Linked DNA regions of Pelodiscus sinensis. The protein of the gene in region 2 binds, or shares a complex with, the protein of the main gene of each other region. Links are inferred from orthologs where the notes say so. Each region holds a gene or a part of one and is shown on either strand. Other genes may lie near its edges. The genes, in order: KLHL22, CUL3, KLHL25 and KBTBD2.

What was found.
Region 1: the proteins of CUL3 (region 2) and KLHL22 are in contact, whole or in part, in a cryo-EM structure (PDB 8K8T), measured with the Homo sapiens proteins. The link is inferred for Pelodiscus sinensis from reciprocal best matches to the Homo sapiens genes CUL3 and KLHL22. Residues at the interface, in NP_003581.1 of Homo sapiens: Thr14, Arg17, Ile18, Arg19, Ala20, Phe21, Pro22, Met23, Met25, Asn49, Ser50, Gly51, Leu52, Ser53, Phe54, Glu55, Tyr58, Tyr62, Leu66, Met118, Asp121, Ile122, Met124, Tyr125, Arg128, Val129, Gln133; in NP_116164.2 of Homo sapiens: Asp73, Tyr74, Arg76, Gly77, Met78, Gly81, Gly82, Leu83, Lys84, Glu85, Leu92, Ile93, His94, Leu117, Gln121, Val125, Cys128, Gln129, Gln131, Pro133, Trp146, Glu150, Asn151, Asp154, Val155, Arg157, Leu161, Phe162, Asp163, Ser165.
Region 3: CUL3 (region 2) and KLHL25 share a complex: the UniProt entries of both Homo sapiens proteins name them as parts of the BCR(KLHL25) E3 ubiquitin ligase complex. The link is inferred for Pelodiscus sinensis from reciprocal best matches to the Homo sapiens genes CUL3 and KLHL25.
Region 4: CUL3 (region 2) and KBTBD2 share a complex: the UniProt entries of both Homo sapiens proteins name them as parts of the BCR(KBTBD2) E3 ubiquitin ligase complex. The link is inferred for Pelodiscus sinensis from reciprocal best matches to the Homo sapiens genes CUL3 and KBTBD2.

What each region holds. Positions count from the first base shown.
Region 1 is NC_134725.1:6,512,890-6,519,772, forward strand, and holds the start of KLHL22 (kelch-like protein 22), read right to left. Parts: upstream 3,010-6,883; 5' UTR 2,871-3,009; intron 2,508-2,870; exon of another isoform or gene 2,484-2,507; intron 2,110-2,483; 5' UTR 2,057-2,109; coding exon 1,830-2,056; intron 478-1,829; exon of another isoform or gene 351-477; intron 110-350; coding exon 1-109. UniProt on the Homo sapiens protein: Substrate-specific adapter of a BCR (BTB-CUL3-RBX1) E3 ubiquitin ligase complex required for chromosome alignment and localization of PLK1 at kinetochores.
Region 2 is NC_134720.1:16,974,704-16,982,102, forward strand, and holds the start of CUL3 (cullin-3), read right to left. Parts: upstream 3,011-7,399; 5' UTR 2,676-3,010; coding exon 2,610-2,675; intron 1-2,609. UniProt on the Homo sapiens protein: Core component of multiple cullin-RING-based BCR (BTB-CUL3-RBX1) E3 ubiquitin-protein ligase complexes which mediate the ubiquitination and subsequent proteasomal degradation of target proteins.
Region 3 is NC_134724.1:13,993,963-14,001,448, forward strand, and holds the start of KLHL25 (kelch-like protein 25), read right to left. Parts: upstream 3,005-7,486; 5' UTR 2,785-3,004; intron 2,362-2,784; 5' UTR 2,317-2,361; intron 1-2,316. UniProt on the Homo sapiens protein: Substrate-specific adapter of a BCR (BTB-CUL3-RBX1) E3 ubiquitin ligase complex involved in various processes, such as translation homeostasis and lipid synthesis.
Region 4 is NC_134712.1:171,548,561-171,556,573, forward strand, and holds the start of KBTBD2 (kelch repeat and BTB domain-containing protein 2), read left to right. Parts: upstream 1-4,995; 5' UTR 4,996-5,464; intron 5,465-5,497; exon of another isoform or gene 5,498-6,226; intron 6,227-8,013. Other genes in the region: uncharacterized protein LOC102448486, read right to left, coding at 1,842-1,989. UniProt on the Homo sapiens protein: Substrate-specific adapter of a BCR (BTB-CUL3-RBX1) E3 ubiquitin ligase complex that acts as a regulator of the insulin signaling pathway, modulating insulin sensitivity by limiting PIK3R1/p85alpha abundance in adipocytes.

The DNA.
Region 1 (6,883 bases), on a different chromosome or scaffold from region 2:
CTCAGAGGTGTAAATGAAGCTCAGGATTTTACACATAGCATTGTAGGAAACTCCATGAATATGAACCTCCTCCTGTCCCATCTCTCTTAGCCCACCAGCAAACATGCCTCTGTAGAAAGAAAAAGATACAGACGACACTGGAGACGTGCCAAAGCTATGTACAGTTCAACCCATCTTAGCCATACTGTTCTGGGGTCACCCAAAAGAGTCAGACAGACAACTGGACAGACAGCTTTGCAAAGCCTCCATGTCTGTTGCCAAATCCAGTTCTCCAGGAATTATGCCAGGCAGTACAGTTTTCAAACTGGAAACCCAGAGCAGAGCCTTTTCAGAATGCAGTGAAGACACACCAGCCAGCTAGTTCTGAAGATCCAGAAGGCAGTCAAGCTTTGGATAACCAGCTGTACACCTATTCTCCTTGTGCATCCTTGCATTAGTTTAACCTATAAATGGCTTCCTCATACATCACTGGGCACCCTGGAAAGCATAAAAATCTCCCTCATTAAATGAATTAAAATGAATAAAAGCAATATAGACTTCTGCATCCCACAACGGGGTCGTTGTCTTTAAAAGATGTTAGGGCTCATGTTATAAGCCCTTGTTTTAAAGAAGTTTAAAACATATGTGGAAGTGTGCTAGCCTGGTGACAGTGCTTTAATGCTACAAGTATAAGAGGGGTCGCCGTGTTAGTCTGAATCTGCAAAAGCGGCGAGGAGTCCTGTGGCACTTTATAGACTAACTGAAGTGTTGGAGCATAAGCTTTTGTGGGCAAAGACGAAATTTCCACTACCTGCATCTGACGAAGTGGGTCTTTGCCCATGAAAGCTTATTCTCCAGCACTTCATTTAGTCTATAAGGTGCCACAGGACTCCTCGCCGTTAAAGCTACAAAGGACTTATTGATTCAGATGCCCTTGCGTTCTCATCCAGAGAGGGCTGGAGTGATAGGGAAGTGAATGCACTGAGTTCAGAGGTGAACAAGCCCATTAAGTGTCTACATTGCAGGTCTGACAGACTTTGACACGTTGAAGACCAATCCCGCCTCCCATCCACAAAGTCCTCAGGCACGTGCCTGTATGTTCTCAGCACGTGCGCTTGGTGGCTCATCCAGGGATACAGGTATAAGCTTGTCTCACTGTACCATATTTCTACCCTCCCACTTTGTGTTGAAGACAGAGCTAAGAGTTTGCGTAGCTAGGTTCATGCTGAGACAGTCCATCAAAGCTGTCCCACAATTTCTGGGGCCTGTGTGTGCTGGTTTTTCTAATTCCCAAGCCCCTACTCACCTCAAGCAACCCCAGCTTCCAGAGATGTGAAATTTGTCAATGCACGGATGGTATAGACAAGGCATGGGCATGCATAACACTACAGCGCATACGCGTATCAGCAAGATGGACAAACACAGCCTCACAGGCAGAGGTGCCCAGACACAGTTATATTATGCAGCGTAGGCATACTCTGAGCTGCTAGGAGGAGAAAGGAGTGACTTACATCGTTCAATTGCAACCTACCCACAGCTGAGTGGACGGGGTCCCTAAGGAAGACCCATGCAATCCCTGTTTGGAATGATAATGGCTGTTATGTCAGGCTTTATGGACTGAACAACTAGGCGTTGTTTTACTCTTTGAGTACAAAGAAACCGATTTGCTCTAGATGTGATCAGAGCTGAAATCTGGGAGTGTGTGTTTTGGACCAGTGTGACCTTACTCCAGACTTGGGGAAGCATGGGGAGTCCCAAGGGCGAAAAGACAGAAGTCCAGCCAGGATTCAGAAGGTTTGAGTCATGGAGAAAGATGCTGGTTAAAGATTAACCAGTGACATGGCACATACCTGAAATAGTCACACGATGCAGCCAGAAGTATCCGATGAGCTTCAATGGGTTTCCCTTCCACTACCAGGACTACATCAAACAGGATGCCACTATCTCGGAGGGAGACCAAGCCGCTGAGTAAGGACTGGGAATGCTGTGCACTGCGGTACGTGTGGCTGCTGCATTGCTGGAGGGAGGTCTCCCAGGGAGTCTTGCATGTCTGAGTCAGCTCCTGATCTTCTGCCATCACCAGTAGAAATGTTCAGAACCTCACAGCCACCAGTTACAGCAAGATGAGTTCTGAGACCACAGAAATAGCCAAAGTTTGCGTGTGCTGATTCCCTCGCAGCATTTTAACTCTTACCGCACTGAACAAGCGGGTCCGCTCAGTGGCGGTACCACGCCGTTTGCAAACCTATTCCATGACTGCTTTGAGAGGCCCTGGGGAGCACGGCCTCTGTTAGTTTTTCACACCCCTTGAGAAGAGGTTTAAATAGAAACCGGGAGCAGTTCTCACATTACCATACGCACTTTCCCCTGGAGGTACCATCTCGTGGCTGCTGGAGAGGAGCCACATGCACGCGGATGTAACTGGCGCTGCTGCCACCCTCCCAGACCTGCCTCCTGCCGTTTCTTTCCCCTGCAGGCGGCTGAGGGAGCGAGCCGCGTCTCACCACAGCCTCAGGCGCGGCCAGACGCCTCCTGGTGCCTGCTGTGGGAGCCTAACCCGGCCATGCCCGGCGGCGCGCTGGGGGCCCGGCCTGACTTTCTTTCTTTTTGGTTGTTCCGCAAGGAGCCCGCTGACTCGCCCCTTTAACGCGGGGCCCGAACCCGCCTGCGGCCGCGGGGGCGCGTGTAAAGCGGGGGGGGGGGGGGGGCAGAACCGGCGGGAAGCGGCTCCTCCCCTGCAGCCCCCCCCCCCAGCGGGGCCGGCCGCTCTCCCGCCGCGGGGGGGGGCGGCACCGGGCCTGTCAGTCACTCGCGGGGCCAGCACTGGGGGGGCGGGGCGCCGTTATCCCGGGGGGGGGGGGGCGCCCCTCCCCCCGCAGCGCTGCGCTCACCTGCCGGCAGCGGCGACCCCGAGCCTCCGCCTGCCCCAGCGCCCGCCGCCCGCTTCCGGGTTCGCCCGCACCATCGAGTCGGGCCAGAGCGCCCTTCCCACGTGACCGAACGGAGCGCGCGCTCCCCCCCCCCCACTTAAAGGGACCCGCCCCCCTGGCGCGTGTCGTGTCTTTCGAACGCGTGTGGGGCGGGTGCGGCGCCCCCTGCAGGAGGGGCCAGGGCCTGGTCTGTGCACAGCCGGGTCCAGCCCTTCCGCCCCCAGGCCCTGCGGGGACCCGGTGCATGGTCCGGCAGGGAGCGCCTTGGAGCGCCTCCCTCCGCAGCGCCCCGTATGCCGGCAGCTCCCTTTATCCACCCGCGAGGCCGCTCCGAGCCCCCGGAATTCTACCAGGAACGCCTCCCGACCTGGAAGCGCTGGCCGGCCACCTGGTCCGTTGTGGCCGCCCAGGGAGCAGACCTCCTCACGGAGCCCCTGCTCCACAATCCCGCCTTGTGCGTGCAGGTGTGGGGTCTCCCACGGTGCGCCGGAGACTGAGCCTGGCAGAAACCACCATGGTCAGAGACCTCCTGGACTACGACAGGGGGGACGGGGTGGAGCCCTGAGTGCTCGCTCGGTGCATGGGGCTTTCCACCCTCTGAACCCCCCCTGCGCATACTCCAGGAGGTGGAGGCGGCTTTGTGGCGGCCCGCTCTCAACCTTCTGCAGCGGTCCCTGCGAGAGGGTATGCCCCGTCCCTCCTGCAAAGCCTCCGCCCCTTTTATTGGGCCCCTGTTCCGCGCCCCCCCCCCCCCCCCAGCATCTCCACCCCTGGACTCCCAGCCGGCTGCAAAATCTGTAGCCGGTCTGTTTTCGGACCGCGCCTAGGGAACAGCTGTACACATTCGTGCTGCACACTCTGCATTTCCCCACCCTCGTGTCCCGCCCCGATACCAAGTGGCAGGACTATCTAAGATCCGTTGAGGGTGGGGGATCCCGATGGGCCAGTGTGTATTCTACCTTAATCCCGCGGCCCATCGGAGACATCAGTTGGCGGCTTCTTCACGGAGCCGTGAGCCCGGGCGTGTACTTGGCGCGGTTCACCCCCATCCCAGACACCTGCCCTTTCTGCGGCGTGAGGGAAAACCTGGTGCACACATATCTCAAATGCGCCAGGCTGCAGCCCCTGTTCCGGCTCCTCCAGAACCTCTGATGGAGGTTCTGGCTGCACTTTTCCCCTCACCTTTTCATTTATGCACACCCTATCCGTGGCCCCACAAAGTTGCGAGACCTCCTCGTCAACCTCCTCCTGGCCCTAGCAAAAGCCGCTATATATAATACCAGGAGTAAGATGTTAGACGTGGGGGTTCTCTGCGACTGTGGGGCCTATTTCCGTTCCTCCCTTGTGTCACGTATCCGGGCAGAGTTCCTTTGGGCGGCGTCCACTGGCTCCCTCGATAGCTTTGAGGAGTAGTGGGCGCTGTCCGGAGTTCTCTGCTCAATGTCCCCATTTGGTTCCCTTAGTTTGAATCTGTGACCCGCACCCCTTGATCCTTTCGTCATCAGTTGTCCCCTGTAATCAGTTGGACATGGGTCCAGTTGTCCCTCCTGTAAGGCTGGGGAGGGGCTTTTAGAACGTGGGCGGGCTTCGCCTGCCCACCTTCCCATGGTTTTCAAATAGACCCCATGCACCCAGGCTCTTCGCCCGCAGCGGGCTGCCAGCCAGCGGAGCAGAGACTTGTGGGTGGCAGTCCCCACACCAAGGGCGGTGCGGTGCAAAGGCGCCTGCCTGCCAGCCCCACAGCCCCTTCTCCCCCCCCAGAAGAGAAGAGTGCCCGTAACTGATTTGTAAAGAGGGGGTGCAGAGAGTCACAGAAATCTCCCCATGACGAAACTATCTGTCCATTGACTCTGGAAACCCACCATATTTTCACAGTGCTTGGCTGCTTATTTCAGAACATCCTGAAATAAGCAGCCATGCACTTTATTAACATGCAGTTATTAGAGTAGATTTATTGGGACTGAGGTGATCTACATATTTAAGAGCTTCTCTGCAGCAGAGGCTTATTACACATTAATTTTAGTTTGTGCCAATGGATTAAAATGACCTGAGTACACACAGTTCGTAAAGCATACTGACTTGCTAGTTAATACGTATGGAATAATTCACTTGCTGGTGTGTATTAAATTAAAATAATTTAATTGCATGTTAATTCAGCATGCATGAATACTTGTGTGAATGCATTGCTTGAGTCATGCTAGTCTTAATGTAATCATCTCCTGTCTGGATTTCTATTTCTACTCTGTTAGACATAACACTACTAGTTACATCTTTTGAAATCTGTTCTTTTTACAGCATCCTATTAAAGTTCTTTGTCTGCTTCACCTACATAATCCACATAAAGCCCTGCAGAATGTTCCCAAACAGATATCTTTGCTTCACTTTTTCTCTCACAACTTCCTCTGTTCTCTGACTTTGCCAACCATTTACTTTGTCCCTCTCTTCTCCCATTTTTGGAATCATGATGTTGTTTCCTGACCCCTTGAGTCTCTAGCAAAGGAAAAACTGACTGACATGCTTACTGGGGAATGGAAACAGTGAAAATGACAATGCAGACAATGGTGTCCTATGCACAAAGAAAAAAAAATATAGGTTTTCTTTCTAATGTCTTTCAGTTTTAATAATCTAAAACCACAGGCATGAAAACACATTAAGCTCAGTGTGACTAATTTGCATGTGTAACAATAAGCATGTGTGTATGAAGAATTGGGACATTAGATATTCTCTGTGATTTTCAAAGGAGACTAAGGAAGCTATGCACAAATCCCTTAATTTCTTGTCAAAACCTCACCCATTACCTATAATTCTATTGTTCGAAGTTTCTACAGTGACTGGTCCTATCCACAGGTGCCTTACTCCTAAATATGCTGCTGTTGCTTTTAAGTGAATGACCAGCAAAGTCAGAGCAATTTGGTTGACATTTTCCTTATGAAATATGCTTTTAAGTGTGACATTTTCCCCCTCTGCTTCCTCAAAGATTAATTCTACAGTGTCTTATTTGCGTCAGAAAAATCCCATTACCAGATTATCACTCTTTACTTCCAACTTGCCTGCCAGGGAATGTATTTTCGTTTCCTTTTTCATATTTTTATGTATTATAATTACAAATCTATTAACATGCTATCTGCCTACAGCTATAGCTCTGAAAGCTTTGTATGGCTTCCATTTTGTAATATGCATGTGGATGCTCATACTTATAACATTATCAAGGTGCAACATGTATGGCTGCTTGTCTCAGAACATTTGAAACAATATCCTTTGTGGCAGAGTATGGGAGTGGGGGAGTCTATTGAGACTGGGCTTGTTGCTCATTACACTTTAAAATGTCTTTAAATTTCATCCTGATTGGCTGTGTCTAGACTGGCCAGTTTTTCTGGAAAATCAGCCGCTTTTCCAGAAAAACTTGCCAGCTGTCTATACTGGCTGCTTTAATTTCTGCAAAAGCACTGACTTTCTACTGTAAGAAATCAGTGCTTTTTGCGGAAATACTATGCTGCTCCCGTTCGGGCAAAAGTCCCTTTTGCGCAAAACTTCTGCGCAAAAGGGCCAGTGTAGACAGCTGAGATTTGTTTTCCGCAAAAAAGCCCCAATCGCGAAAATGGCGATCGGGGCTTTTTTGTGAAAAAGCGCATCTAGATTGCCCACGGACGCTTTTCCGCAAAAAATGCTTTTGCGGAAAAGCGTCTGTGCCAATCTAGACGCTCTCTTCCGAAAATGCTTTTAACGGAAAACTTTTCCGTTAAAAGCATTTCCGGAAAATCATGCCAGTCTAGATGTAGCCATTGTGTTTAAATCAACTGGAACTTGCATAACTAGAATTTCATTTTGAAAAGTACATGGAACCTGAACTATAAAAATACCGTTGATTGTTGCTCCCTAGGAATGTTTCTGAATTGTTAGAATGTCCTTTGGGTCTTTCCGTTTTCAGTTTTCAATTTAAATGGACGATAGATGTTAAAAGCACCTGAAGGAAA
Region 2 (7,399 bases):
ACACTAGCAACATCAACAATTCAAAACTCAGAACAATGCATCAGAATTGGAGAAAGTGAAAAGAGAAAACAGTAGCCAAAAAAGGTGGAAATACTAAATACAGGTCCCAGTCTTGCAAACAAATATAGCTTCATGAAGAGTCCATTGAAATGAACCAATCAAATTACACACGTGCCTAAATGTTTATAGGTTTTGGAGAGAGTGATAGTTTTTAAGATTTTACTATCATGCAAATAATTATGAGAGAGAAAAATTGTCATTCATTAACATGCCCTTTTTCAGTTAAAAATCCTTTGTGAACTTTTTACTGTGTTTGGTTGCAAAAAAGGACATTTATTTTAAAATCGCAAAACTTAAAAAAAATACTATAAACAGATGTTAGGTTCTATTTGGCATTTGGAGGCCTTGATGTCAATATATACTTAAAAGTGTTACTTTTTAAAGGAAGATAATTAGATAAATTAGATAGTTGTAATCCATTCTTTAAACAACCCAAAAAAGGGAAAACTAAAACAATGCTAACAAGAAGCATTTTGAGGGGTGAAAAAATATCAAGCATTCTCAGCACTTATGAAAGCAGAGCTCCACATGAACATTCTTCACCCACGAACCGCATTTTATATGCTTAGTTACAAGAACTTTCAAAAAATAAAAAGCAAAATAATACTTATTCTAGTCATTGTTTAACCCTTCTTAGTTTACCATCATCTACATACGTAAAGAGATTTTGCATGGATCCTATTAGCCAAATTTAAAAGACTGCCAGAATTTAGATTTAATAAGAAAAGAAGTTTGCTGTAAAACAGATAAACATTAACAATGACAAAAATGGTGTATGATAATCCACTATAGTACACAAGTTATCAGCTATTCTTTTGCTATACCGCCCTCCAAATGTTCTGATAATATGAGGTTTATGCTGTGAACAAGAGTATTATTAACAATCAATAATGTCTGTTGGAGATCACCAGCCACACACCACTTAAAACAGGGGTGGTGAACCTCCAGCCTTTGGGCCACATGAGGTGCATCAGGGTTAGCCACTGGAAGGTTGCCAGATGCTTTGTTTACCTGAGCATCCACAGTCATGAAGCCCGGCAGCTCCCAGTGGCAGCAGTTCACTATTCCTTGCCAATGCGAACAGCAGGAACAGCCGCCACTGGGAGTGGGCCAGGGGGCTCTATGCCTGCGGACACTCAGGTAAACGAAGCATCTGGCAGTCCACCAGCACCTAACCCTAACAAACCATGTACTGGATACCCACCCTGACTTAAAACTTTCTAGTCTTTTACTTCACAGTACACTTTTTTTTCCTTCAACATAAATAATTATTGTTGACTAGAAGTAGAGTTTAAGAGGGAAGCTATCCAGCTGAATCAAATACCTACAGATAACTTCCAACAATTTAAAGAAGTATTAAAGTTTTCAACTTCATTGGTAAGAGCTTTGGCTAAGCAGGTCTTCCCTGATATTATGTGCTGGTGAACAGATGTGAACAGGTATGTCCAGTTTATTCATGAAAGCAACCTATTATAATTGTTTGCCACTGGCTAGCTGGGTCAGGTGTAACAAAAAGTTAAGATAAATACTAAAGGCTAGTGACTCAATAGAGCATTTCCTTTTTATTATATACATATTATATACACACACACACACACACACTTTTGCAGGAAATCACTAAAAATGACTGAAGTTTCCACACATCTTGTAATACTGGAAACCATTAACAGCAGTCTTCACATTCATTTGTTCTAAGCTTCAACTGAAGAAACTGTCAAAGCACAGCAGTTTTACAGCAGTGTAAATTAATAATCTGTCTTATTTGCTCAATAACTAAAGTGACTGGCAATCTCAGAGTTGGATATATCCTAGCAGTCCTATGAAAAGTTACACTGTCACCTGACGTTTTACCATCTGACCAACAATACCTGCAAAATAAAATCTCCCATATGCAGGAAAACTAGCTTAGAGATAGAGTTATAAGACTCCTTTTTTTGTTTATGTGCATTTGTAGCTTCTTGTCTGAAAGCCTTTAATTGGAAATGGCATTAAATATATTTTCGGAACATATGACTATAATAAACACACAGCTTCTGAGGGGGAAGAATTACCACCAGTATGGGTTCCTCCACATGCTTCATGCTGTGGAGGGTCCCCACTCGCTGTAATGCACCCTCCCCAGTACCGATCCACAGTAAGTGCCCGAGCTGTTCCCTCACCGTTCCCAGTGTCTGTAAACCATCCCCCCAAAACCGCGGTCAGTGCCCAAACTGCCTCCCCTTCACCCAGCCGCCTGCCAGTGCCCGCGCCGGCGACGCCACCCCCAGTGCCGGTCCCAGACCCTAGCAAGGGCCCGCGCCGCCGCCCCCCGCGCCGGTGCTTCCTCCCCCGCTCGGCCGCGGTGACAGGTTTCATTGTGCTGGTAACAGATGGGGGCACGGAGCGTGTCCCCCGCCCGCCAGCCCCCAGCCCAACCCCGTGCCCGGAGTTTCTAGCCCTGCTCCCCAGCCCGCCTCCCGCGGGCAGCCGGGTGACAGACCGGGCGGCCGCGGGGCCTGCGGGCGGACGGAGGCCGGGGCCTGGCGCGCAGCCGGTGGCCGGGGACTCACGGGGAAGGCTCGGATCCGCATCTTGGTGTCCTTCCGGCTGCCCGTCCCCTTGCTCAGGTTCGACATCTTCGGACCCGGCTCGAGCGGAGCCTGCTGCGGGGTGGGGGGGGGGGGGGACTGCGGGGAGACCCCGGGCGGGGGCCCCAGGCGACCTTCACTCCGAGCGGCGGCCCCGGGGGCGGCGGGGCGGGGAGGAGAGAGGCGGCGACGGGAGGTTCCGGGCGGCGGCGGCGCAGGCCCCTGTCTCCGGCGGCGGCGGCGTTTCCTTCACCCTCCTCCGCCGCGATGGCGGACAAACATCGCTCAGTGCGCAGGGCCAAGCGCCCCCCCACCCCACAGACAGATCCGGCCGCGGCGGCAGGAGGGGCGCGGGGAGGAGCTCGGCGGGGAGGGCGGGCGAGGGGGTGGGGGCCCCCCCGCTGCTTTGCTCTCGCGAGACTTCGCTCGGAGCTGTCACCGGCTGCAAAGGGGCGGGGGGAGGCAAAGGCAGGAAGAGAAAGCGCGCTGGGGCAAAGGCAGCCGCTGATTGGCTGAGCGCAGCGCAGTCGGGTGGGGTGAACGCAGAGGGGGTCCCACGGCTGGCCTGGGGGAAAGTGGTGGCTTTAGCAGCAGTAGCTGCTGTGGGGCCTCGGGGGCGTGGTCTCCATGGTACCTGTGCAGAGCAGGGCTAAAGTCCAATTAAGTTACACAACTTCAGCCACCTCAACTGCCCAGCTTAAGTGGAAATAGCTTAACTGGGCTTTGGCGCTGTCCCCACCGCAGGAGTGGAAGGAAGAGCTCTCATCCCTCCACTTCCTTACTCCTGCTGACTGAGGGGTACAGCCCTCGCTATAAGACGGCCTCCAGCCCGCCATTATTTCGAAATAAAGGCTTGTAACGTAGCTGTGCGCTTTGTTATTTCGGAATAATGTCAGTTATTTCAAAGTAACACTGTTGGGTAGACGTAGCTTGGGACTATCCGCACTGCACTCTGGGCCTAGTGCTACTTCCACTCATTGCAGGCCCAGCTAGAACTAGAGCCCCACATGTGGACAACATGCCCAGACCTTAGGATGGTGTTGTCTAGGCTAGCCACCTGCCAGCTCTTTCCCTTTTATTTCATGCCAATAGGTGTTTTTCTAAAGTCACAGCTCCTGGACTCAAGTGACTATGAAAGACTCACAACTCTTCTTTTTAAAAAAGGACTGGGAAAAGGTTGAGAATGTGACCAAGGCTCTGTCACCATGGAGCCTTTAAATAAAGAAATCAGAATAAGCACTGGTCTATATAGCTATCCTCAATGGTAATAGTGACTCAGTTGTTAGCATAAATTAGGTAGGTGCCAGCATTCACAAAGCTTTTAGCCATCAGGTTGCTAGACCTGTGCTGAGATGGTTATTCATATGCTGATAATTTGGTAATAATAGCTGAACACCCAATGGTAGCAGTGATGGGCAAACTGAAGGAAACAAAGTCAAATGTAGACGCAGCCTTAAACATAGGCCCATAACTCCTTTCAAATCTATGTGGAGAGAGCAAAAGCAAACAGTCTCTTTAAAAGATAGGCCAAGTAAAAAACTGCACAGACATATTGTCCCTTTTCCATTATCAACCTGAAGTTTCCCAGCTGTTAATTTTGGCTCACTGAGTCATGGCACTCATGGGTGTTGTACTCCTTCCGAGACTCATAGTCATGTTGAAATGCAGTTATTGTTTTCTCTTTTTAAAATTTAGTAATCACAATATATGCTTGAGAAATGAGGATGCCACCTGAGGCAATCCCTGTGTGAGAGTGAGGCTAAATATAGGTCACTCTCAAATTAGGACAGTTTATATAAAGTATCAAATGTTGTAAATATATTTTGCAAGTCAAAGGCAGAGTCAGTTGCTCAGCACATCTGACCTTCAGGTGGGTCACTCAAGAACAAAAACAAAAAGTTAATAGTCACTTGAAGTTTGGGCATAGGTGACTAGCCCAAGATCCCATATAGGAAGTCTGTGGCACAGACAGGAACAGAACTCCTGTTTCAGTTCCCAATCTGTACTTTACCTGCAACAGCATAATTCCTCTTTTCACAGGCATTTTTCAGTCTAGTACACTAAAATCATCACACTATTCGGCAATTTCCTAGAAATGCCTTTAAAATATTGGCACAAAGGATACACAGGCACAAATATCCTGCGAGCTAGTTTGTCTTCTGTAAGAGTTTCTTTACCTATTTGTTCCCTTCATCTTAAAAACAAATACTTAGCATTAAAACTAATGTAAGTGCCTCTTGTGTATGTTTTTAATCTCCTGTTCAGAATTACGTATACACTGAATGGAAAAATTATATAACAGGAGCACAGAAAAAAAAAGTTCTAATGATTTCAGCATGACTAAAGTACAGTGCCATTCAACCCTTCTGAAAAGTACAGTTTCTAGAATAAGAATGTCTAGTTCTTAAACCACTTTTCATTAACAGCCAAAAAGTCAAGTGGTAGGAGAGGCAAAGTTTTCCTTCTAACTTCCAATATGAAGAAATAGTGTCCATACATTTCAGTGTTATCTTCCTCATTTGAGACCTTAGTAAACCAACCAATTAAGTCTAAATTAAAAGTTTTGCTTCCAAGAAGTTCAAATGGTTGGGAGAAGGAGCCTACCTTAAATTGCAGTTTGGATTGCAGGTACCTGCATTACTGCTGATAGCTCTAGCATAGAGCCCGCAGTAAGCAGCCTGCAGACCATACACAGTTTGCTAGGGTTAGCCCATGTTGGGCCACCAGATGATTTACCTGTATATCTGCACATAAATAAAGCATCTGGTAATCTTCATCAGGCCTGTGGGATGCTTATTGCCCACCCCTGCTCTAGCACAACACGTTCGAATACTGTTTTTGTCCTTTTTTCATACTGTTCCCTTATGCATAGGGCTAGTGTTGCCAGAACCCCTCCCCCCCCCCCCCAAAAAAAAAACCCACGCCAGAAAAAAGGACCCTGAGAGTTGTTAAGCAAAAGAAAAAAAAATCCCCGGGGACCCTTTAAAAACCGCGTGGTGAGGCCTTTTGGCCCTAACAGGCTGCCGGTGGCCACCCGCCATCTTGCCTTTCTGTGCCAGGCCGGACAGCTCCCCTGCGGAATCCGGTAAGCACTAAGGTTGCCAGGTTGCTTCCGTATTGAGCCAGACAGAATGGGATTTTCGCCTCCTACCTGGGAAAAAAATCAGAATGTACTGGACATTTTCTGAATTTTTTTTACAAGACAGGAGGCAAAAATACTGGACTGTCCGGTTCAATACCGGACACCTGGCAACCCTACATAGTGCAACCTCACTATCCAAGCGTACCAAGCTCTCATAAATACTCTTTTTTTTTTTTGGAGGTCCACTCAGGTCAGTTAAATGGTTGATTATGTCACTAGAGGAGGGATCATCGTTTAAAAATTCAGTTACAACCATGTTGGCCCTCTTAAGAAACCTTCTTTAACTTTGCAATGTATGATCATTTGGTATCATAGAAGGCTCAATAATACTGCTGGTTCTTACTTAGTAAAATTATTACAAGTAGAGATTGTTGCTTGAGGTTCTTCCCATGCAGGTTTGCAGCCCAGTGGATCTCATATGAAACTTGCTGTTCACTCCTCTCTGCATTCCAGCTCTGTAACAGGTAGCTGCACAGAACTCCCCTATTAGAACTCTTCTAATTTCTGCTCCCATCTCTAGGAGGAATAAAGCAGTTTTGCTAATGTAGGGTCTTGTGCTCACACAAGAGATCATTGGAATTGCTCGTAAGAACTAGTGGTGTCCATCAAAGGGGAGATGAGTGTGTGAAGAAGGGCAGGATTTACTTATCAATGGCTAGTAGCCCTAACGCCCATCTTAGTCAATGCCAGCTATCTTATTTATACATCATCAAATATTCCTACAATAAAGAAAGTAATAACTGTTTTGGGAAAAATAGCCTTCCATAATGGGGCTCAAGTTTATCTACTGTGACTACTTTTATCCTCTGTTTGCCTCCAGTCCCCTTCACAGTTCACACTCGTGTGCAAGCTCTGAGTACAAAGGCCAGAAATTCCTGCTCTAGATACCCCTGGTTCACACTAGGGGATAAGTTCGAGTTAAGATACGCAATTTCAGCTACGGTAATTGCATAGCTTAAATTGAAGAATCTTAACTTGAATTTTGGCGCTATCCACACAGTGAGGGGTTGCATCAGAATAATAAAAAATCCGAGAAAGTGTATTAGCATGGTCTCATTCTATAACATTCAACATTTCATCTGAAGAAGTGTGTTGTACCCATGAAAGCTCATGATACCATCTACATGTTTTGTTAGTCTTTAAGGTGCTGCTAGACTATTCATTGTTTTTCAAGTTTTTACATTTGAAAGGAAACTCAGAAAGGCAGCTGCCTATGTGAGGGTGGAAGGAAGAGATTCTTATTTAAAAGAACAAAAAGTCATATTTCTTTTTAGTTACATAAATACAATTATCAGTCTGTGTTGATGCTTGTTTTAGGCTTTGCACAAATTTTGCGTGATATATTGAGGATATGTATAACACCATCAATACAACAAAACCTGTGTAATAGCCTGTATGCTCAAGAGAAGGGGAGGATGGGGAGTAGCTTGTTTTCAATGTATCACATTTAGAATCTCATCCTGCAGTCCTGACAAGCAAAAGTTCCTTTGAAGTCACTACATGATTAGTAAAAAATGACACAATGAGGTAAGTTTTATTTTGCTGTTTTATTGACCAATCCTCATCCCTCCATACTTCTCCCAACTCCAACAATTCTGTTGATATCAAGGGGGTCTGTTTGATCCAGTAA
Region 3 (7,486 bases), on a different chromosome or scaffold from region 2:
TCCTTTCTGGCTTCCCCCCCCCCAAGCATCTCATACACTCCGCATGCCCATCAGATGCTGGCAAGGGCTCACTGGGGGAGGGGGGGCATGCAGAGTGATTTTTGGTCTCAGGCTGCCCTATTGTCCTTTCCCCTCCGATCCCGATCCCTTGTTTGTTGTTGTTGGTTTCTTTTTTTTTTTTTTTTTTTGGAACTACGTCCAAGAGTGTGACGGAGAAACTGAGAGATTAAAGCTGCCGCCTCTGCGGTGGTCCATGAGAACTGAGGCTGGGACAGCCTGTTCTTTCACTTGCTGTTTTTACTTTGAAGTTGTAAAAACTGATCAATTAAGGGAAATAGCCCGGGGTAGAAGGTAATTAAGTAGCAAAGATCTGTGAAGAGAGAAAATGAAGGAGGCGAGAGAGGTTAGAAGTCCGTCTGTGGCCGAGGGCAGTTGAAGAGGAACTGAGGGGAGCGGAGGGGAAGAGAATCAGGGCTGTCACAGGAGGCACCTAATGGTCAAGTGGTGTGAGGCACCTTTTGTGTGTGAGCTGCCCAACCGTCAACTGCTAAGAAAAATTCTGATCTGCGGCTCCGGGGACCACTCAACACCAACAGAGGAGCATCCATGGGGATATCACCTGAAGAAGAACAAAATGTTCCTATATCAACAGGAGCCAGATTCTGGAGAAAAGAGACCAGGATGGGTTAACATGAGTTGGAAAGGGAAAATTAGAGGGGCAAGGAGAATAGGTAGAGACCTGCAAATTCGCAGATATCCATAGCTTATTTTTACCAATATGAACGTGGATACAAATTTTGTATATAGGACAAATTTATGGCTATCCACTTTATATCTGCAGGTATAGACATCCACATATGTGGATATCCGTTGATCACTTTTGCAGATGCGGATATGGATGGAAATTTTGTATCCACACAAAGCTCTACAAATAGTCAGTACAAGATTCTCCCACATGTCCCCTCATCATACTTTGTGCCTGCCCTGAAGATACCACCAATAGAATGGAAATCACTAGCATTTGCAGGGGTTCCATATTATTATTTGCATAACACTGTGCTTGGTGCTTTACAGACGGACTAGGGGCAGCATGACAAGCTGGGAGAGATAAGGGAGGTCGGGGGCAGCGCAACTGGCTGGGGGAGACAGGGGAGGTCGGGGGCAGCGCGACTCCCCATAAAGCAGCCAAGCGTCTGCAAAGTGGCAGCTGACGGGGAAAATACCTTGGACCCCCGCAAGGTATTTTCCGTATTATCCGACATTTCGATTATCCGACCATCCTTTGGTCCCGTTTAGGTTGGATAATCGAGACTCTACTGTAACTATTTTGATATTAGCGTTATTCCTTGTGGAAAGCAGGAGTTATTATATCAAAATAACCAGCCCATTATTTCGAAGTAACGGGCTTGGTAGTGTGGATGCTCTGCTTGTTATTTCGAAAGGAGACCACAGCAAAGGAAGAAGAGAGATTAAACAAGCGGGCTGTCTCCATATGGAGAGGTATCCCTGACGATCAGATGGCTCCTCCTGAAAGGAGTGATTGTATGAAGCTGTTTTCTTTGGTGTAAAGAAGTCTGAACTCAAACAGTATTAATGGGCTTATGAAAAATAGAGCTGTAACTGTTTAATTCCTAGAGAGACCCAAGGAAGGGCAATGTGACATGGCAGACGCTGTCATAACAGAACAGGACATAACAATCAGTCCATTTGAATCAACCATTTACACAAAATTGCAAACTTTCAGAATTGTGTTGCTGCTGCTATTTCTGCAGTTCATTATTTTATCAGGAAGATCACTGGAGAAGGATCCAGAGAAATATTTAGAGGCAAACAAAAAATGAATAAACACTGTATTCTAGGTGTGAACAGTCACTTTGTTTAAAAAAAGCCCAGTGCCCCAAGCATTTGTTAAATATTTCACTGCTAACATTCTAAGTGTATACAAACTGTACAGAGCTCCAGGATTATGAGAACAATGCACCCAGTTATCCCGACAACATGCTGGGTTCACACTATCACCTAATTGTCTGACACCATATTGTTGAGTCTTTCCAACTTCTCGCTGCACATTTTAATAAACTTGTAAGAGAGAATGATTAAACAGTGACGATCTGGACTTGACAGACAACGTCTGACTATTCAGGTGCTCAGACACAAATATTTGTAGTACACTGAGCAGTTATTATAGCGCATCTTGAGCACGAGGGTTAAGTCAGAGCAAACGGATTTTTCTTCCTAAACCTCCCCCCAACCTTAAACTCCAATTTGTAAAATAAATCTCCATCGATGCTCAATAAAAAACACCAGCCTACTCACCCTTCCTCCCCTTGGAAGTGTTCTTCCAAGCTTTTCCAAACACTCCTGAAAGAGGGAAAAGATATCAACTAATCTCTCTCTGGCTTTCTGCATTAACTGCAGCTACTTCTTTCTCAAAGCCTCTTTAAATGACTTACTGATTACGAGAAAAAGCTAGCAAACCATCCTCCCCTTCCCTCAAGTGTCACTTTGCCATCAACCACACGCGGCATCCAATATATGGAGGACTGCCCCATTCTCTCCCCTCCTTCCTAGCTGAGATCTGCCTCGCTGATTTCCCACTCCCCCTTTCCGAAGCACTCTGCAAATGACATGGTTAGCAACTGCACAGTTTGTTGCTCCCTGTCCTGCGCTATCCCAGGCGCTGGGAACTCGCTCCAAGAGCCAGGAGCCTGTGTTCACCTCTCTCCGCACGCATCATGCTGCTTCGCTGCCACTCGGGGGAGCCGGGTCTGCACAGATACTCACAGGTCAGGAATCTGCTCCAGGGCTCCGAGCGTGTCCCCAGGTCACGCTCGCTCCTCCGCCGGGCTCGGGCCCATTCCGCCTCCCCAGGTAACTTTCACTCACTGGATACAATGTAACCAGAGGCTTGACAAGAACTACTTTCCCAGCTGGAGGAGGAGACATCATCCAGCAGAGAGAGAGAGGGCGACCAATCAGCGCCGCCCTGTATTGTGACAGATAGGAGCGTCGGCCATAGGTGCGACTCGTAGAAGAGAGAGGGTGAGTGACAGCGGAATCCACCAATTGGATTAGAGGAAACTGGTGACGGGCGGAGTTAAGGAATAGGGTGGGGCTGAAGCAGCTGGACCCTAACCCCTCCCTCCCCCGTGATTCTTAAAGGTAGAGGAGCCTTTGAAACAGCCTTGAAGGTGCGAGGCCAGCGGACACAGCACGGGCAGCCGAGGGAGCTTTAGCATATGGTGCAAGAGCAGCTGGACTTCAGCGCTTCCTAATTCCAGCTTGTCCTCCAGCGCAGCTCTGCCAGCGCGCCTGAGTCTGACCTGTTAACCCCCCCCCCGCCTCCTTCCTCCGGCTTTCTCAGTGCTGGGCAGCGCTTTCATCAGGCTCTGCAGCCCCTTCTGCGATTGCACCTGTTGTAACACTCTCCATCAGCCCCCTGTGCTGCCTCCATCACAGCCTTAGGAATTCTGGGGCCCTAGGCAGGGCTATTCAACTGGTCTCCCTATGCCCGACAGCCCGTTGGGGACGGGACAACAGTTTAAGAGCTGTGATTTTATAACCTTCAGCCACACAAGAAAGAAATATTTTTTTTAAAAAATGTTAAACGAAGGGCCTGTCCATTAACACAGTAAATTCAGAAACTGGCCGGATATCCCTGGCCTTGGCCAATGCTTGTTAAATGGCTTCCTTGCCACTTGAATGGCTCTTTCACAGGTTCCATGTTGTGCTAATAGGTCAGGCTGGCAGGCTTTGTCACTTTGAACTTAGCTAGAGCAGGGGCGAGGACCCTTTTTTGTGTGGAAGGCCACTGACCTACAGAAAAACCAGTTTGGAGCCACATGAAAGTGAAAAGTGGGGGGGGGGGGGGAGGAGGAGGGAGGAAATCCTCACAGACCTGGTCCCCCAGTGAGAAGGAGAAAAATACCCTCACTGACCATGCAGAAAAGATACTTCATTCCAACTCCACTGGGGGGAGAGGGAGGAAAGGGAGAGCCAAAGCTCAGGATTTTCCCCTAGGTCCAGAGGATAGTAGATTCTGTGAGACCTCCCCCCAAGCTTTGGGGTGGGGCCTAAAATGAAGGATTTAGTGTGCAGAAGGGGTCTGGGAGTGAAGGTGCAGAGGTCTGTGCAGGAGGGGGCAGGGGCACATGTGGCTGTGTACCACCTACACTTGCAGGAATATTCCCGGTCAGTGGGCTTGATGGGGGTGGAGCCTGCAAGCAAGCGCAGGGACAGAGCTTCCCTGCACTGCGATGCTGAGCTGCTTCCTCCCACTCATCAGGCAGAGCCTGTGGGCCAGATGCAGCTGTGCCTTGTTCCAACCCAGAAGGCTTGAGACTCCCCCTGACTACATTGGGGAGCTAGTTTTGGCATTCCAGCCGTGCAGGGGGGCACTGAGGCTCATAGACTTGCTGGGTGGGTGGAGTGCCAGCTCACCCTGCTGCAGTTGAATGGAACCCCAAACCTCAAGGGGCCCCATTCCTGAACTAGAGCGTCTCTGGAGGATGCAGAGGCGCAGAAGAGAGATAAGAAGAGGCTGGTGCATGGACATAAAAGCTATGTCTAAACTACATCCCTCTTTCAAAAGTGGGATGTAAATTAGTCAGATCCAAAGTGCAAATGAAGTGGAGATTTAAATATCACACGCTTCATTTGCATAATTGCATCACAGCGTTCTTTCGAAAAGTCTATTTCGAAAGTGAAACTGCCATCTGACACTGGTCTTTCAAAAAAACTCCCTTTTTCTAAAGATCCTGTACCCCGAGGTGGTTTCACTTTCGAAATTTAGAGGGCCACATCTGCTTCAAAAATAGGCCTGGGATGCTGGGCTCTATTCCTGTCTCAGGCTATATCCACACTACAGGCTTCTTGCAGAAGAGCGCATCCACACTGCAAAAGTGCATTGAAAAAGTGATGCGCTTTTGGCAAGAGAGCATCCAGACTCCAAGGATGCTCTCTCTAAAGGAAACTCAGATTGCTATTTACAGAATGGCCACCAGGGCACCTGTGCTTTTTTCGATTGCCTCTTTTTGTGCAAAAAACCCCGTTTCCCATCCACACACACTTTTTTGCTCAAGAGTTCTTGCACAAAAAGGAGTATTCTTCATAGTAAGAGGAATACCTACACTGGAAAAATCCCTCTGCTCTTTCGATATTTTTGTGCAAAAATGCACGTGAGGTGTGATTGCTCCGCAATGTGATCGCTCCTGCAATGAGGAGCAACGGTAGTTCTAGTTAGGAGCTTTAATTTGAACTACCTAGTCCGTGCTGCATGTAGCTGCTGGCAAGGAGTTCGAACTATGGGGCATTTCAAAATGGCGGCGCCCAGGAACATGCAAATAAAGCCTGGGATATTTAAATCCCGGGCTTCATTTGCAAGTTCGAATGCCTACATTAGCCACCCTAGTTTGAACTAGGGTGGCAGTGTAGACATGCCCTGAGAGTTTCCTGTCATAGTTACTTATGCCTCTGCTTGTCCCTGTTTTTTGCTGGGGTGTGTCTAAACTACATGCCTCCGTCGACGGAGGCATGTAGATTAGCCAGATCGGCAGAGGGAAATGAAGCCGCGATTAAAATAATTGCGGCTTCATTTAAATTTAAATGGCTGCCCCGCTCTGCCAATCAGCTGTTTGTCGGCAGATCGGGGCAGTCTGGACGCGACGCGCCGACAAAGAAGCCTTTCTTGATCGGCACAGGTATGCCTCGTGAAACCAGGTTTACCTGTGCCGATCAAGAAAGGCTTCTTTGTCGGCGCGTCGCGTCCAGACTGCCCCAATCTGCCGACAAACAGCTGATCGGCAGAGCGGGGCAGCCATTTAAATTTAAATGAAGCCGCGATTATTTTAATCGCGGCTTCATTTCCCTCTTCCGATCTGGCTAATCTACATGCCTCCGTCGACGGAGGCATGTAGTTTAGACGTACCCCTGGTGTGTCGCAAAAAGATACTGCCTGCAGGGCCCATTCTGAAGAGAGTGGGAAGAGGAAGAGATGACTGATAAGAGGATTAATTGAAGCAACACCCCAATAAAAAGCTATATGATAAAATACAGTCCCATATTTCCTCCTGGGTAGAAATGGGATAACATGTAGCTACAGTTAGAAGGGACTATGTGCAATAAATAACAGCTATAGCCCATCAAAGGGTGTGCGTGAAAGTAAATTGAAAGAACGCGGCAGTTTTTTTAACCACGGAAAACCTCGTTTTACGAGGAATAATGCCTTTTTTGGAAAGTGCTCTTTTGAAAAAAGGCGCTATGTAATGCAAACTGCTTTTTCGAAAGAGAGCATCCAAACTGCCTGGGTGATCTCTTTCAAAAAAGCGGCTTGCTGCATTGTAGTCTAGATGCTCTATTTCGAAAGAGGCTTGCACTATAGACGTAGCCAAACTGTTTTAAATCCTTGCTCCCTGCGTTTGCCCAGGCTATACAAGATTGGTGAAATTAACTAAAACTCTGTCATTTCCCAGAAAAGCTGCTGCTTCAGAGGTCTGTGTGTTCCAATGGGTGAAATACCCTGTTAATTAGGTTAATGAGCTGCTGTGGATCTCAAGCAGAATCTCGAGCAGGGTGACTGCTGTTGCACCCAGAAAACATCTGTTTAACAATGGCACAATGCAACATTTAAAGACAAAATGAAACTGATATTTCCCTTTGCAATTGAGTCTTGTCCAGCTGCTCCAGACTATAAAAGAACCATCAAGGAATGTAATGTAGTAATTGTTAATTCTCAGCGCAATTTCCAACTGCTGCCTACTCTAGCTGGCAAAGTCCTTATCTCCTCAAGCTGTGTGTGAACCCAGACTGACATCCATCCTTTTGTAACTGAGAGAATGGGGAGGAGTGATTCATAGCAGCTGTCAATGTGGAGTCCTGAGAGGATGGGGCTACAGAACAGGAGTAATAGCCCTGAAAACCGATAGACTCCTTATCGTGATGGGGAGGAACCTGTTTATATCTTTAGTGGTAATGAAGGGAGCATGAGGACAGCAGGCAGCAGGCCTAGGCAGTGTGGTGATGGGCACAACACAAGCACACAGAGAAGCAGAAAGCCTGACAGTGAAGCAAACTGCTGGAGTGAATCTGACAGAGAGAGCTGCACCTGGGGGCACCTGACAGTACAGGAGACAGTGAGGAGGGCAGCAATGGGAGGAACCAAATGGAAAAACAATCCATCTCTTGCCCTACGGAGGATTTTCTAAGGACTCAATTGAAGAGGAAAACAAGAGCAGTTCATCACTAAGGGAAGAATGGGACGCTGCTTGAGATGGCTATAACCATTCCATAGTTTAAAACAAGCACCTTCCAGTGATCTAGAGCAGTGTTTCTCAACCTTTTTTTTTATAAAGTACCCCTTTAAAAAATTATAAGTACCCTCAATACCTACAGTTTTTAGAGACATACATTTTTTTCTACCATTGCAACACATTTGTTTATAAACAACTTAATCATAGCTAATTAAACATAAAGCTGATTAAACTTAAAA
Region 4 (8,013 bases), on a different chromosome or scaffold from region 2:
ATCCTAGCACCCAAGAGAGAATAGGTATTAGTTTTTAGCTAAACATCTTGAGCATTGTTTATGGCTACTGTGACATTTTTCTGCACTTAATCTCTGACACTTCAGGCTCTGACATGAAGCCTTTTAGCAAATACGACAGTAGGAGAAGTGTCTCCAACCAGTTTCATGTTTGGAGTCTGGAAGTTCACTAACAGTTTCATTTCAGCTCTACCACACTTTCCCTATGACCTTGGCAGGTCAGTCTGTTCATCAATGCCCATTCCCCCAAGCACAGTACAGGCAGTCCCTGACTTACGCGGATCCGACTTACGTTGGATCCGCAGTTACGAACGGGGCTGCCCCGGAGTACATGGACTGCGGGACCTCGCGGTGCCGCCGCCCGTGAACTCCGGGCGAGAAAAGCTGCTCCGTGTCTCCCTTGTCTGCAGACCAGGAAGACGCGGAGCAAAGCCGCGGAGGGGCTCGGGCAGCGGGGCAGCCCAGGCATGCCTGGGCTGCCCGAGCCCCCCCCCCCCCGCGGCTTTGCAAAGCCTCGGGGAAGCCGGCAGCAGGGCAGCCCAGGCGCGCCTGGGTTGCCTCGCTGCCCGAGCCCCCCCCGCGGATTTGCAAAGCCGCAGGGGAGGGGGGGCTCGGGCAGCAAGGCAGCCCAGGCGCGCCTGGGCTGCTCCGCTGCCGGCTTCCCCAAGGCTTTGCAAAGCCGCGGGGGAAGCCGGCAGCGGGACAGCCCAGACACCCCGCGGCTGTCCCCCTCAGAGGCTTTGCTCCCCGTCTCCCTGGTCTGCTGGTCTCCAGCAGACCAGGGAGACGGGGAGCAAAGCCGCGGAGAACCCAGGCGGCGGGACCGCGGTGCGTCTCGGTCTGCCGCCCGCGTCTTCCTGGTCTGCTGAGGTGGGGGGGGGGGGCACAGCTAGTAGGCCTCCCCCCCCCCCAGCAGACTAGGCTTTTCTCCGGATGCCTGTGGCAGAGCAGCTGGGGTGCTGCCGGTTGGTCCCGCAGCGCCGCTCTGGGCGCTACTGGACCAACCTAGCAGCACCCCATCTGCTCTGCCCCAGGCGTCCTGATTTAGCCGCTGCTGAAACTGACCAGCGCTGACTACAGGAAGCCCGAGGCAGAGTTGCTCTGCCCCGGGCTTCCTGGAATCAGCTGCTGATCAGTTTCAGCAGCAGCTGACTTGGGGACGCTTGGGGTTCTTAAGTTGATTCTGTATGTAAGTCAGAACTGGCGGTCAGTTTCAGCAGCAGCTGAATCTGGACGCCAGTTCCGACTTACATACAGATTCAACTTAAGAACAAACCTACAGTCCCTATTTTGTACGTAACCCGGGGACTGCCTGTAAATAAGAATAGGCAATTATTACAGAAGGGTACTCCCTCAGTAGCCATTAAGGTATCAGAGTCATGACTATACTGAAGTTCAGTTTTCACTTAGGTTTTCTGTCTCGATGGATGTTTGCCAAGGTGATTTTACTCTATATTCCTCATAGACAAATAATATAGTAGGGGTCCCTGATTCAAATGGGGTTTGCTATTATTGCCAGTTGCTGAAACTGCCGGCTTCCATTTACAAGATTCTTCCTAGGAAACTTGTTCAGTTCATTTGGTGTTGCCCCATTCATGAACAGAACAGACAACAAACACTAGTTTATAATATAGCTGAACAAATAGATAGGAACACATTGTAAGAAAGACACTTTTACTTCATACACTAATTCTAGCCTCCATATTAGGGGAAATACAAGAGTTACACAACAGGTGAAGAAAGCTTCACTATGAAACAGGGATTTCATTAACTCAGGCAGTAACTCAAACACATTGTCCTCAGTCAGCTCAATCTTGCCTTACCAGGTGCAGGAACGCAGTATGGATTATACACATTACTGAGATACCATGGATTTGGGAAAGGTTGTTGTGCTGTTGGCTGTGCATAAAAAAAGGGTCTTGTGTGGTTTGTGGAATATGGCCCATTTTCTGAAGCTGGCGCAGTGTTCATTTTTAAGCTGAAATGGCAAAAAGTTATCAGAATTAGCCACTTTAAAGACTACTAACTAGCACATCCTTCTAAACAAGTCACAGTATTGCAATGAACAGATTAAAGTATCTATATTAAAAAACAAACATATATAGTCCCATACTAGTACACCTCACTCTATCCTGAAGATTTTTACTTGCTTTCATTTCTATCACCATTAGGGGAGAAGCTACAAAGGCCATAGTAGTAGCTAGAAAGTAAAACAAGTTTTACTATCAAGCAAAGTTCAGCATTCAGCTGTCATTTGTTTCACCAGATAGCCACATGACAAAAAGCAAGATTGTCTTTATGCACAGAGTTCATCTTTAGATTTGTTTTAAACTAAAGAGAGAGACCCCCCAACAAGCATCTATCTCTATATTCAGTTAAAACTGACACTGAAGGCCAAAACAAAGCCTCAGCTAGATTTTCTATATAAGCAGAGTTAAGCTTTATTATAAATTACATGCCACCAGGTGCCTCTAAATAACCTGCACAAGAAGCACCCTACTGGTCAGTTAACTTCAAAGTGGTAAAGGGGGACTAGAAAGAAAGATAGTTAGCACTAGCTGGTATGAAGTGAAGCAGGCATACATTTACTGAACTAGAGACTTCAAAAAAGTAATTGACAAAAATTGAACAACCTGTTACAGTTTTGTACACAGTTCACTCCTCAGGAGAAAGAAAAACACTCAGAGCAGAGAGAGTCCTTGTCACTCCCAGTTCCATCTAGTACACAGTCCCAAAACAGATTTTAACTAGCCACCATGAACCTACACACTTCCCTTATTGCACGCACTCTTCTAAACCACACACCCAAAAGGATTTGCTTTGAAGAAAGCAAGCCCTATAAAGGTAAGCTATTTTCCCCGATGAAAGCCCTTCCAAAACTAAGGTCCATGCTGCTGCTTAGAGCCCAGCAAGAGACTAGCCACACCTTCCTCTCACCTTGTTTATGGAACACAACTACCACTGTCCACTCCCTTCACCATCTGTGGCTCATTTAACAGTGATGCAGGGACCTTTTCTATCAATCAGTGGGAGTTGTAACCAATGGAGGGGGCAGGAAGAGCAGCAAGTGTCCCAACCCCTGGGCAGAAGACTCAAGATAACAGTACCCCAAATCCTGCAAACATTTCCATTCTCTTTATATTCAATATGTAAAACAATTGGGATGTAAATAGCAGGTCAAAACAAAATATGATCTATCCTACACTTAAAGTTATAGTTCAAAACAGAATCTCTTTTTGAAAAAAATCCTTAGAAAGCACAAAAATGTTTGTGCCTAATTTTATTGGTTACTGTTAATACTAACAAAAGAAAGAGATTAAGTGTTTGTATGTCAACACAAGGAAATATGAACAGTTGAAATTCACCTTCCACCTACTTAAGAAAGAAGTGTCTGCTCCAAAAAAATATACTTCAGCACTTGAAATGTATGAAAATGAATGATAGAAAATGACTGGCATCCAAATCCTGCTGTGACTGTATAAAATTTGTGGGAATTTTATCACTTCACTACTTGAGACATCTTCTCAATGAAGCATAGAGCACTTACGCTTTGTGGCAGTGGCAGTGAGAGGAAAATTAAAACGTGATTGTGAGGTGGGAAAGACTGACTACCATGAAAAGAGAGATGTGGATAAACAGGAGTCTCTGTCTATAACGGTGCACTACACCATTATTCCAAAATAACAATGTGAGCATCTACACAGCAATCCCATTATTTCCAAATAATTTCAAAATAACAGGCAGCTTATTCCAATTTATGTAAACCTCATTGTATGAGGAATAATTCCTCTTTCAAAATAACTATTTCGAAATAGCTGCAGTATGGACTCCACCGCTGCTATTTCAAAATAGCTCATCACCAGGGCCATTCTAAGTAATTTCTCCCCAGTGCTTCCTGGGGCTGTAAATCGAGATAGCGCATCAACATTAGGACTAATTTTGAGGCTTCCTTGTAGTGTGGACATGCTATTTTGAAATAAGCTATTTCAGAATAACTATTAATCTGGAATAGCTTATTTCAAAATAAGTGTGTAGTATAGAGGTACCCTCAGGGTGCATGTACACTGCATTCTTAGCTCAAAATATGCTATGCAATTAAATAGCACTGAAGTGTAGACATAGCCTAACTAAGGAACTTTCTCTTAAATAAAATACCAGACTATGTAGCACTTTAAAGACTAACAAGATGGTTTATTAGATGATGAGCTTTCGTGGGCCAGACCCACTTCCTCAGATCAAATACAAATGTTACAGATCAAATGTATTTGATCTGAGGAAGTGGGTCTGGCCTACGAAAGCTCATCATCTAATAAACCATCTTGTTAGTCTTTAAAGTGCTACATAGTCCAGTATTTTGTTTCAGCTACACCAGACTAACAGGGCTACATTTCTATTTCTCTTAAACGTTTTCGCTTGTCTGCTGGCACTGTTGGGATTGCCTGTTTCTCCTACAGCAGCCCCATAGTTTGAGCTCTGCAGGGGCAGGAGCCACCATATCATTCTCCTCGATCGCTCCCTCTCCCTTAGCGGCCCTGTTGCCCCCGCTTTTCATCCCAAGCCTGTCCATGTTTTTCAAGGCCCCAGCTCCTGGAGGCCAGTGATGATACAAGCCTCCCCCTCTGCTTCTCCAGCTCGGCCGGGCGGCGGCAAGCTGGGAGGGACAAAGCCTGGGGGAAGGGCAAGGCAAACGCACACGCAGCGCGGCACATTTATTATTGTTTTGAATACTCCGATGGTTTCAAATCCCAGCTCCCAGGAGCGCCTCAGTCCCGGGCCACACGGGTGGGCGGGGGTTTCCCGCTTGCCCCACAGCACCATCTGCGCCCGCGGGACGAGCAGCCTGGCGCGCTGCAGCGCAGAGACGCGCAGGCGGGGAAAGTGGGGGCGGGGCACTGAGCTCCTGCGGTGGGCGAGGGCGGGAATCAGCGCGCACCTCAACGTGTCGGGCTGAGATGGGCGCCGCCTGCCGCTAGGGGGCTCCCTCTCTCTCTCTCACGCCTGCCCTGCCCGCCGGTTTGATTGGAGCGCAGGCGCACTCGTGACCGCCCTGCCCGCAACCCTCGCAAAACCAACTTCCTGCTTCTGCGCAGTCTCCCAAAACAGTCGGGTTTCCGCAGGCCCCGGGCCAACGCGCGAAAAACAGCGCATGCGCGAGACGAGATGAGCGAGCGAGCGAGGGGAGGGGTTCGATTGCTCTTCTGCACGAGGGACGGAAGTGCGCGAGGAGGGCGGGCTAGCGGGAGCGCAGCTCCTTTGCCGCCCACATCCGAGCTCGCGCGCGCATGATGGCGGGGGGGCGCGCCGCCGAGCTGAACGGACGTTGAGGGAGGCGGGTGAGAACAGAACGAACGAACGAACGCGCGCGCGACCGTCTCCGTCCGCAGCCCGGGTTTGACCGGATCCTTCCCCGCAGGCGCTGAGGCTGAAGAGGAAGCGGCGGCCGGAGGTTTGCTCGGGCAGACGGCGGGACTCGGTGGCTGCGTTTGTTCCCCCCCCCCTACCCCCGGGAGGGAGGGAGGCTGCGGACCTGCCATCGCGCCGCACCGAGCTCCCTCCGCCCTCGGGCAGCGCCCGCTCCGCTGCGGCCTGGGCAGCCTGAGCGGGTGCCGGGGAGTCACCTCCTGCCTCTGCCCAGGCCCGCTCCTCTCCCTCCCCGCTGATGCTCCCTGGCCGGCAGGGCCCCGCGCCGCTGCCGAGCGGCCTGTGACTGGGTGCGGCCCCCGGGAGGGAGGCTCGGGGTGTCCCCGCCCGACGCTGCGGCTGCGAGGGGCGCCCGAGCGGTCAGACAATAACAGGGAGGCTGCGCGGCGGGGCCCGGGGGAGGCGCGCGCGCCTGTGTCTGGCCTTCGCGTGCCTTCCCCTTGTCCTGCCGCCGCGGCCCCTCGGGGTCCTGCCGGGCGCTGGCGAGATGGAGGCTCCCAAGGAGCGAACGCGCGGGCTCTGCGGTGCCTGTTGTAACCCAGCGTCGTCACGGGCCGGGCGCGGGCTGGGGCCGGGCGCTTGACACCCATTCTCCGGAGAGGCTGGGGAAGGGCTGGGACGTTGATTTTAGGGCTTCTTGGCTGTGAAGCGGCTCTAGACCCTTGGGGCGAAGGGCGCTTGGAGGTAATGGCGCTGCTCTCGTCTCCAAGTGATCCCGGCGTTGCATCGCATTGTAGCTGGGCACCGTACTGCTGCTGGCGGTGACGCCTCGGCTCCCTCAGTGTTTGTAAGTGTCGAGGAGAACTTGAGGGATTACTTGTTCCCGGCTTCAGCTTTAGCTGGACTTTGGGGGTTAAAATACTGCGGCCTTTTCTGACGTGGGGACACAGCTTAAACATGTAATATGCCTAGCACAAGATGTGCGTTAGTTGTTGTTCATCGTGCATCACATTTTGCTTCCGAGATTTTTCCTTCAGCTCACCAGAAAATGATTGGACACCTGTACTAGTTACTTTTGGAAAAAATGAAACTAGGTTATGATTTATAACACTACCCGAGTTCTGCTAATTCTTGTATTTGTATAAGGGGACCTGCAAAGCTCCCTCATCTCCCCCCCCCCCAAAAAAAAAGACCTGTTTACTTTTTTGCTGCTTCATGATATTAATGAAAGCCCAAAAACATGTTTAAAATTTTGCTTGGTCTCTTTAATTCAGAAATCCACATAGGAAGACTCAACTGGAGACTAAATAAAGCTATTCCTGTCCAAACTTCATTAAGGGTGGGAGGATATAAGGGCAAAGATGCTCACAAGAATGCTGTAGTTAAGTAGTTTGGAGCTCATTATTTAAAATAAGGGTGTTAAGGAGTGGGTATTTGGCAATACAATTTTTATCGACTACACAATTAGTCGATAAGGGGAGACTTCTGCACAGCAGCAGTGGGGGTAGCTTCTGGAGCTAGCAAAAGCCTGGACTGCTCCGTCCCAGCTCACACTGGGTCAGGTAGCCCAGGCTGCTGCCAGAGCAGCCTCTGCCTGCAACAAGCCTTGGCCTGCTGTGGGCAGAGGATGCGTCACAGGATGCTTCATGGCAGCTTCCCCTACCCCCTCCCTGCCCTCTGCTGTCTCTGATGTCTTTTGGTGATGGAAAGTCTCCTCTTGATGTGATTTTTTTTTTTGGCCTGTTTTGTATGTTAGATTAACCTGACGTTCAACCAGTTAATTGACTAAGTGGGATCCCGGGAGGGGAACCACTCCAGCCTGGTTGGAGCAGCCCCCAGCTGATGGCGTGGGTGCTGGCTGGGAGCATGGTGGGGATGGAGCAGGCAGGGGGCTGCTCCCAGGGCATTGGTTAACCGTTACTCGGTAAGCATCACCTGGTATGGTTAACCAGGTGCCCATTCGCATCTCTACACTAAGCTGGCAGTTTTCTCTTGTTTTCATGTTTGTGAAGGTATACTTCCTCCTAATATCTTTTTCTCCATGCAGAGGAGCAAAAGACAGTGAAGAAATTGGCAACCACTGTGTAATGTCCAAGCTAGGGATACTAAATTTAGATTAATCGGCCAATTGACTAGTTGATGCAGTTTGGATCAACTATTCGGTTAGTCAATAAGGGCACCTCTGTCTTTGAAGTGTAGCAAGCATTACCCTGTTGGCCCTGTGCTCCCTGTGGCATTTCAAAGCAGCAGCACTGCATGGAGCCTGGGGTCAGTAGGGTAGTTCCTTGCTGATTCCAGGCTCTTCACCGTGCTGCCACTTGGAAATTCTGCGTGCAGCCCAGGGCTAGCTGGGAACTCCTTGTTGGCTCTGGGCTCCATGCGGTGCTGCCACTTTGAAGCACCCCCCTCCTCTTTCCCGTCTCCCCCACTACCTCTTTCTGGTCGAAAGAGTGTCAACTAGTTCACATCCCTAGTCCAAGAATGTCTTAAAAGTTGTGTGTATAATATTTCAGAGACTCTTGCTCATGTGTCGTCTCAATTCCATCATTAAGTCTTTGGAACTCCATGTCCTCCTTCAGTATCAGAATCTACCTGGTGTCTTCAGGTTTCAGGACTCAATTCTTCAAGAACAGG